2 linked regions of the Oryzias latipes genome follow. The protein of the gene in region 1 interacts with the protein of each later gene in a biochemical or structural test. Links are inferred from orthologs where the notes say so. Each region holds a gene or a part of one and is shown on either strand. Other genes may lie near its edges.

Region 1 (4,064 bases):
GTTTTATGAAGCAAATCTATTAATCCGCTGTGGAAAGTATGCGCCTTTATTGGAGCATCACGTGGGTGAGAATATGTTTGTTTTTTTATTGAATAAAAAAAGACACAAACATGCTAAACTCCTTGTGTTTTTGACAGGTTATTTGTGATATTTCATGATCGATTTAATTGCCCAATAATTTATTCTTGGTCACATTTATATTTTGTGTGTTTATTTAATAGAAAAATTAGGAATACAGTTTGAATAAACGTTGTTACTGTTTGTACTTTATGCAAATTGAACGCCTAAATTCCAGTTTCCGTCTTATATAGCTTGGAAAACAGGGATTTCAACTCCTTTTTGCACAATTGTGATAATGTTAAAAATAATAATTTAAACACCGACATGTTCAGAAAGCAAAACAATAACACTTTAATATAGATTCTATTCTTGTCACTACAAGAATACACATATACAGACCATAAATAGGAAATACACAAATGACTGAACAGATCTGGCAAAGAATTCAAACTGGTTTCTGTGTCCACTTATGCAAACGTGAATATCTTACAGCAGTTTTTGTGTCTTTGGGGTCCATCTTTGAAGCGCAACACTTTATTCTCCTTACAGTCTAACAAGCTCAACAACTAAAACGGTGAGAAAGGTCAAAAATATCTCAAATACATATAGTACACAAAGTCTATATTTTTTTGTTTTTGTTTTTTACAAATGTACAAACTGGAATGGGGGTGGGGGGCAGTCTGCATACAGGGAGCCTACGAGGAGTTCATGATTGGCCTGGAATAGACCCCTTGGTAGTAGGATGTGTCGGGTATAGATGCAGAATCCAGGCCGGCTTTACCCGCCATGGAGCCCATGGAAAGCGCTCCGGTCATGGGGGAGCCATATCCAGAGTAGTGCATCACCTGCTCGTAAGTCTTAAGGTCCATTTTATGGTGCTGTTGCTCCGATGACATGAGATTATTAATAGAGAAGGGGTGGTTGAAGGAGTAGTGGTGCTCCGGCTTGAGGTGGGCTTCGTGCGCCAGGACCGAGTGATGCTGAGACATGAGGTGCTGCCCCTGCGACACCGGGGAGGGCGCGGTGTGCTCCGGGCTCAGGGCCTGGCTCCCCTTCATGTCCGACAGGGACCTTTTGTGCTCGCCGGAGGAGGAGTTAGAGTGCGGGGACTCGTTGCCGTTGCAGCTGTCCGAGCTGCTGTTGGCAGAGCCGCCGTCTCCACCCTTGCGGCCGGGCTCCTTCATGGACATCTTCTTCTCGCATTTGAAGCGCTTTTGCCTCCTCAAGTAGCAGCCGTTCTCAAACATGTTGCCGGAGTCCGGGTGAAGAGTCCAAAAGGAGCCCTTTCCGGGTTTATCCGGCGACCTGGGGACTTTGAGGAAACAGTCGTTGAATGACAAAGAGTGGCGGATTGAGTTCTGCCAGCGCTGCTGGTTTTGTCGGTAAAAGGGGAAGAGGTCCATTATCCACTGGTAGATCTCGGCCAGCGTCAGCATCTTACTGGGTGACTGCTGGATGGCCATGGTGATGAGAGAAATGTAGGAGTACGGAGGTTTGGCGTGCGTGTAGCTCCGCCGGTACGTCTTTGGATCTCGGGACCTGTTGATGTTCGACTGTCCGTAAATGGGGCTCATGGCGTTCATGTTGGTGTAGGATGTCAGGGCGTTCATAGACCCAGGCTGTCCGGTCATAGGACTCATGCTGGGGCTCAGGGCTGTGCTCATAGCCGTCATGCCTGCTCCCATCCCGTTCATGGCTCCGGTGCCTGGTGACATGCCGGTCATGGAGGGGCTCATGCCCGTGTTGACGTATGACATGTTCATGGAGTTGGCCGTCATGTTTGCGGTGGTGCTCATGCCGGACATGCTCATGTAGGTGTTCATAGAGTTCATTCCCAGGCCGGTGTTCATGTTTCCAACAGAGGTGTAACACTGTCAGTGAAGGGGGGAAGAAATGTTCATGAAATTTGGCATCATACAAAAAAATGAATATTCAATAACACACAATTACGGGTATGTTAATTTCACTGCGTAAAACTCAATTACTACTAACATTTTTATATGGAAAAAAATCAATGAAACTAACACATAAGCTGAAAATTTCCATCAAAAAATACAAGGCAAATCCCCCACATTTTCTAAATGAATTAAAAAATGATTTAAATTTGTTTTTTAATAATAAATCTGAGGGGAAAGTTTCTACGTCGCATATCCGTCAACTTTGTTAGGTTAGCGCGCTGCGAGGAGATGGGGGAGGATTTGGAGGCGCCTCAAGTCAATATTTGATCACAAAGTTAATATTATCTCAGGGCTAATATTGAGTTGTATTAAATGGGATCGGCTTTAGACCGAAAAAAATATATATATTTATATTTAAGGTACCCACCTCGGGCTCTCCATAGTATGTGCTCCAGTCGGTGTGTTCGTGTCCTTCCATTTTAACTGCTCCAAGCATCATGGAGGACTTGAACGAAGCGTCTCCCAGCAGAGGAAAAGCCAAAAAGTCTTTCTAACAGCAAGTGACTGGGGACCACTGAGGGTTTTTGGGTGGTCGGCGTGTCCGTTTGTCGAGGGCTGGCGCATGTGTGTCGCGCACAGACAGCCGCGACGCGTCTGTCAGTGAGCGGAGTTCAAATGACGCTCCGTGCTGCTCGTTAACGCTGTGATATAGCTCTGTGCGCCAGGCAAGCCTCCAATCCCTACTTCTACGCCTTGGGCCCTATTTGAATAATCTCCTCGCACCTAGGCGTGAGACTCCTCAGGCTCCCCCTCTCATCCCCCCCAACCCCAATTGTACACCTGCGCTGAGTGAAAAGAACAGTTTCATATGAAAAGCTTCATTTAAAACTAATCTTATTGTAAGGGGGAAATAAAAGGGAAAGGAATGTCGTGCGCTTTCAGAGTTCCTTTTACGCACGGAGTTTTTCTCATTCAGCAATGCTAAAATCATAACCTTTTGATACCTTCAAGGAATTTTGGTCTTAACTGTTAAATATTTTAAAGTAGAACCACAAAATACGAAAATCAATTCATTTATGAGACTGTTTTTACATGATTCTTTTGCGCAAAACACAAGAATAGGTCCTTGTTGTGTATCAGGTTATACTAAAAAAACAGTACCTTTTACGGAATATGTCAATTTTTTGACAATTTTTTTTCAAGGATGTTAAAGAACTAAAAGCTGCAACGAGTTCACATATGTGCACGTGCGCACAACACAGCTGTGATTTAAAACGGCCTTTAATCATTAAGCTAAAAAAAAACAGGTAAAGCTCGTTTATTTTGCAGCAGCTCTTTACTTATAGTCACATTCGAATTTGAAACACAACAATGCCTTTTTATTTCTCAGAAAAAATCATAAAACAATAAAAATGAAGGTGATTTTTTTTACAGAGAACGCTCGTTTTTTTAGTGTTTGGTGCGTTTCTCGACCTGCATGAGTGAATTAAAATATTTCCAAATGTTTTCATTGATGGTAAATAAACCAGACGCAGCGCCAGAGCGCCCTCTCTCGGTTATTTCTTCAAATGTTAAATCTTCAAATTCTGTAAACTGAAAAAATCAGATTTGTTTAAATTATGTGCACTTAGCACATTTTTATTTTTACTCCAATTCAGTAAAAATAATAAAGTCGATATCCATTGTGATGTAACATGTAATTCATTATTCGTTAAATTTACAGAATTTTTGCAGTTCACTCCATCCTTCCTAAAATAGTAGCAACTGTTTCTGTGAGGAGCTTTTTAAGTAGTGGAGGTAAATATATGTGTCAGCTTTTCTTCTAAAAGGGAGTCCAGGGGCTGCAGTGTTAACCTGATTCCCGGAGCCCTTACTGTATTTGTATGAAACAAACATCAAGGTGAGGCTGCCGAGCGCCGTCAGCCACGTGTCGGTGGTTGTACATCTATTTGACTGCATATTTACGCAAGAGCAAAACTATCAGGATAGAGCCCCATTAGTAAAGGCGAGTAAACCTGTGGTGTTGACGAGGGACTAACACAGTCTGCTTAACTTGGAAATTAGATCATGAGAAAAAGGCTGTGTGTTTGAGGATTTGGGATTGCA
Region 2 (4,255 bases), about 3.4 Mb from region 1:
TTGAGATTTTTATGAAATCGAGTAAAATAACAAATTTATAAAGTTTTATATATTTATATGTCTCACCTGTACTCTGGACTCGGGAAGATTGATTTTCAGCGCCACTTCTTCCCGCATAAAGATGTCAGGATACCGCGTTTTGGCGAACAACGCCTCCAACACGTCGAGCTGTGCGCGCGTAAAAGTAGTCCTTTCTCTCCTCTGTTTCCGTGGTGTAGCTGCAAAAATAAATAAATAAAATAAATAAATAAAAATACATAAAAAACATGTTATTTGATGTATACACATTCCTTAAAGCAATAATATTTAATGCCATCAGAGTATAAAATTAAACTAATGGGGGAATTTCCAAAGTCTTTTGTTTGCGTAATGACGCACGACTGCAAGGTGAAACATTGCTACACAAAAAGCACTTCATAACAATTGGGTTTGTTTTAATAAATATATAAGGCAAAATACATTATATTTCAAATAATAATAAAAAAAGTTTAAAGTAAAAAATGAATTAGTTTAAATTTAGCTTTTTGCAAAAACAAAAGGGCTGAAGTTGATGGGTAATATCATGCTGGATACATTTTAATAGTTTTTATTTAAATCTACATTATTATGGATATCTTTTAATCAAAATCGTGGAATCCTACCTGGATATCCCACTGACGGATGTAAAAGATCCATCCCAGAGGTAGTTAAGCTCAGGCCATTGACCGTGTAAGGTGGTTGCTTTAGATACGACATCATGCTAATGTTTGTTTGGGGGTTGAAGTTGGAGAAAATTTTGAAAATGGATGTAACTCCCGATGCGCTCTGGCTGTCCTCCACTCCCGGCGTTCCCCGTGTTCCCGTCACCTGTTCGGAGAGGGCAAAAAAGAAAAGGAGCTTGATGAAGAGGCGGAGGTCCGTCAAGTGCCACCAGCTCCAATCTGAAAGCCCTCTCTCTGGATGCGAGCTCTTTCTCGTAAAGGACCGGCGACAACTCCAGCTGTCCTCATTGCTTCAATCCCCCTCACCCCTCCCGCCAACAAAAACAATGCGCGTTATAACCGCAACAAGTCACTTGAAAATTTAATTAAAGTCGCAGGGGCTACTTCAAAAAAGTAAAAGATTTCATATAAAATTGGAGAAAAAATACTTATAATGTCCTGCGAAAATTCCCAAAGCCCAAAATAAAGTGAAATATTTTAAAGTAACCAAACATTTTGATGCATTTTACTCACAAACATGACATAACAAATTTATTTTTTGTGATTTTTATTCATTATCTTCACATAAAAGTAATTTTAGAGTTGAAAATAAAGACAGTACCCTTCAAAGTGGATCGTGTGACTTTTAAACAGCGATAAAATGCGCGCCGCGAGGTCGCCTGTAAACGTTATTGCTGTCACTTCAACTTCAGTGATCCTTGCCACCCGTTATCCCCACTGTGCCTCTTGATTAGTTGCATTTTTCCTCCCTTCAATATCCAACGGTTTTAACCCCCTCAACCCAATCTGTCACCTCAAACACTCGGCAGTTCGTGCGCGCACGCGCAATAATAATTACCCCGTGTCCAACCAGTAATTATAATAAATGTTTTGCAGTTGATAAATGAAAGAGGACATCCGTGTGGAAGGAAAGTTGAGCTGCTGTCTGTCTGCAGGGTGTCAGTGCAGACACAAATCCTGCAGGCACCGTAAACCGCAGAACTCAACTCCAATAGATTTCTTCAACAAACTATGTAAATATGTTTTCTTACAATTATTAGTAATACAAAGAAAAAAAGAATACAAATAAATTGTAAACAAATATTCGATTTGTAAATCTTCAAACAGACATTTGAAATCAGAGTTTGCCCCCAAAGAGTAGCCAAACATATTAAATGTGACATGCTGGTTTATTGTCCTCTGAATTATTTATCTGCTCAGGCACATACAGTAGACACAACAAGGCCCTGGAGATTTGGCCTAAATGTTCTGTCTCCAGTGATATGTTTGGTGCGTAAAAAGTACAAAGATGAAGTCGTTTGTTTCCTTGTCGTCTTTCTTTCCTGTTTTAAATCCACCAAAACTCATCTAAATCCGTTTTTGGGTTCAGTTTCAGAAACAGATGGTGTAAAAAAAATTCAAGTCTGACTTCCATGAATAAAAAAATGCTTTTCTATTTAAAAAAAAATGCTTTACTGGAAATCTTACATTTTCCTTTCTTTTAACAGAATTCAAACTGAATTCAAATCAAATGTTTGTTTTTAGTTATTTTTTTATGGACTGACAGTGCATCAATGACATTCCTGTCATTGTAGAGGTTCAGTTTTCTCCATAATCAGGTTCCTAAAAAGGTTTTTCACCATTCCTTGTATTTTAATTGCAAAAGTTTTATTTTTCTTTAAACGTTTTTTAAGTTTTACTTTCACAAAATATAATTTTTAAGAGGCGTTTAATAGTGCCTTACAATCTTATGTTCAAATAATAATAATAATAATAATAATAATAATAATAATAATAATAATAGACTTACCGTAGCGTGAATGTTGAGAAAACACAGTTTCCTTTAGATAAATGGTAAAACTCTCTGAAAACGAGCAGTCCTGTTGCTTGAAAAACGAATAAATATCATGGGATCACAGAGCGGAGCAGGAACCGAACCAGGTCTCCTCAAAGCAGAACAAGAGAGCAGATAAAAGTTGAGCGTTGAGCGCCTTCATCAGGATCTGAAGCGGCGGAGGAGAGATGGAGGAGGCTGCGTGTGCGCCTTCAGGATTTGTCGTTGTGTTGAGAGTGAAGTGGTTGGAGTTAGATTTTGTACAAAGTGCCAGCCAATGGGAGCCGCAGGAGCGAGCTGGGGTCTGTCTCCTTCTCCGTCTCTCACACTGGTGGGGAGGGTGTCTTTCTTTCTCTCTTTTTTTTCCAGGGTAACAAATGTCTCCAGCTACTTTTTTGACGCACACTCCTCAGCCAATGGCAGCGAGAGGGCGACTGACAACATCCCCATCCCACCGCAGAGAGGGTACACTCAAAGATAAACGAACGATATGGATGCGAATGGTGAAGAAGCGAGTTTAAATCAGAGGGAAAACAGTTTTTCCCCTTTACTTCTGCTTTTGTTGGATTTTGTGTTTGAATTGAGGCATCAAACTGGGAGGCTTTAAAAAAGGCGAAAAATAAACCAAAACCCAACATTATTTTCTTTATGTTACCATTATTTTTTCTCCTAAAATAAAAGAAATAAAATACCTTTGAAATGTCCAGTTTATCATACCCAATTTTGAATATAAAGATTTCAAAAAGCTTAAATAAAATGATCTGAAACGGGGGGGGGGGGGGGGGGGAATAATGGGGGAGCTCTCCATGCGTCCTCTCACATTCCAGTGCGTCGCAAAAAAAAGAAGATTTAGAGAGACTTATTTCTTTAAAGTGTCCTTCCGTCCACAGAAGCAGCCAGTCTGCTGCCGTCCGCCCCACGCGGGGCCTGCGTGGAAGTTTACGCGCAGAACTTACAGGTGGGGGGGGGGTTGTAGTGGCTGAGGCACCTGCACGTCCAACAGAGAAGAGAATAATCACAAAGAACCGTGGTGAGATGGATGGATGGATGGAGGGGGGGGGGCGTGTTTTTGTTATTTTTTTGGGGGGAAACAATAGGGAGCAATTTTACGATTTTTTGGCAATTTTGCTTTTTTATTTTTATTTTTTACAAATTTTTGTTTTATGCAAAGGTAAGCCACTTTTAAAGTGAAAATTGTGAAAATGTGGTCATACTGTATTATTGTTGCTATGTAATATTTTTGGTATTATTGTAATAATTAATGAAGGGCTGTCAAATAAGCTACGTCACTTAAATGGTGAACCTGCGTCTCAAAATAAACTGGAGGGTTTTTGTCACGGCTTGGTAAATGTCTCATCTTAAGAGGCTTTGTGGAACACCTACACACACTCTCTCTGACAAACACACACACACACACACACAGACACACCACAGCACGCCTGCACGGACACACCCGCTCACTTCACCCAGATTTGAATATTGATTTAGATTTATAAACACAGGCAGACCGCGGCTTTCGTCGTTCGCCTCTCGCGCGTGGAAAAGGCCGGAGTCAAAGGTGCTGCGGCAGCTGCTACGAGGAGCGGCTCTTCTCGCAGCGCCTCGCACGGAGCTCCCCAAAACGCACGCATGGCGCGCCTGCTCCGAAGATGACATCTCTGCTGACAGATTTCGATCGGAGGGGAGAGGATGAATGCAACTTCGACCGGGATTTTTGTCTGAATTTCGAGCTGTGTCAGCA

Evidence for each region. The genes of interacting proteins can lie anywhere in the genome.
Region 2: the proteins of foxa2 (region 1) and otx2 form a complex in vitro, tested with the Homo sapiens proteins (2 studies listed by BioGRID). The link is inferred for Oryzias latipes from reciprocal best matches to the Homo sapiens genes FOXA2 and OTX2.

Annotation. Positions count from the first base shown.
Region 1 is NC_019880.2:16,307,764-16,311,827, reverse strand, and holds foxa2 (hepatocyte nuclear factor 3-beta), read right to left. Parts: upstream 2,626-4,064; 5' UTR 2,458-2,625; coding exon 2,386-2,457; intron 1,932-2,385; coding exon 756-1,931; 3' UTR 508-755; downstream 1-507. UniProt on the Homo sapiens protein: Transcription factor that is involved in embryonic development, establishment of tissue-specific gene expression and regulation of gene expression in differentiated tissues.
Region 2 is NC_019880.2:12,878,867-12,883,121, forward strand, and holds the start of otx2 (homeobox protein OTX2), read right to left. Parts: upstream 2,849-4,255; 5' UTR 2,491-2,848; intron 847-2,490; 5' UTR 739-846; coding exon 642-738; intron 219-641; coding exon 67-218; intron 1-66. UniProt on the Homo sapiens protein: Transcription factor probably involved in the development of the brain and the sense organs. Can bind to the bicoid/BCD target sequence (BTS): 5'-TCTAATCCC-3'.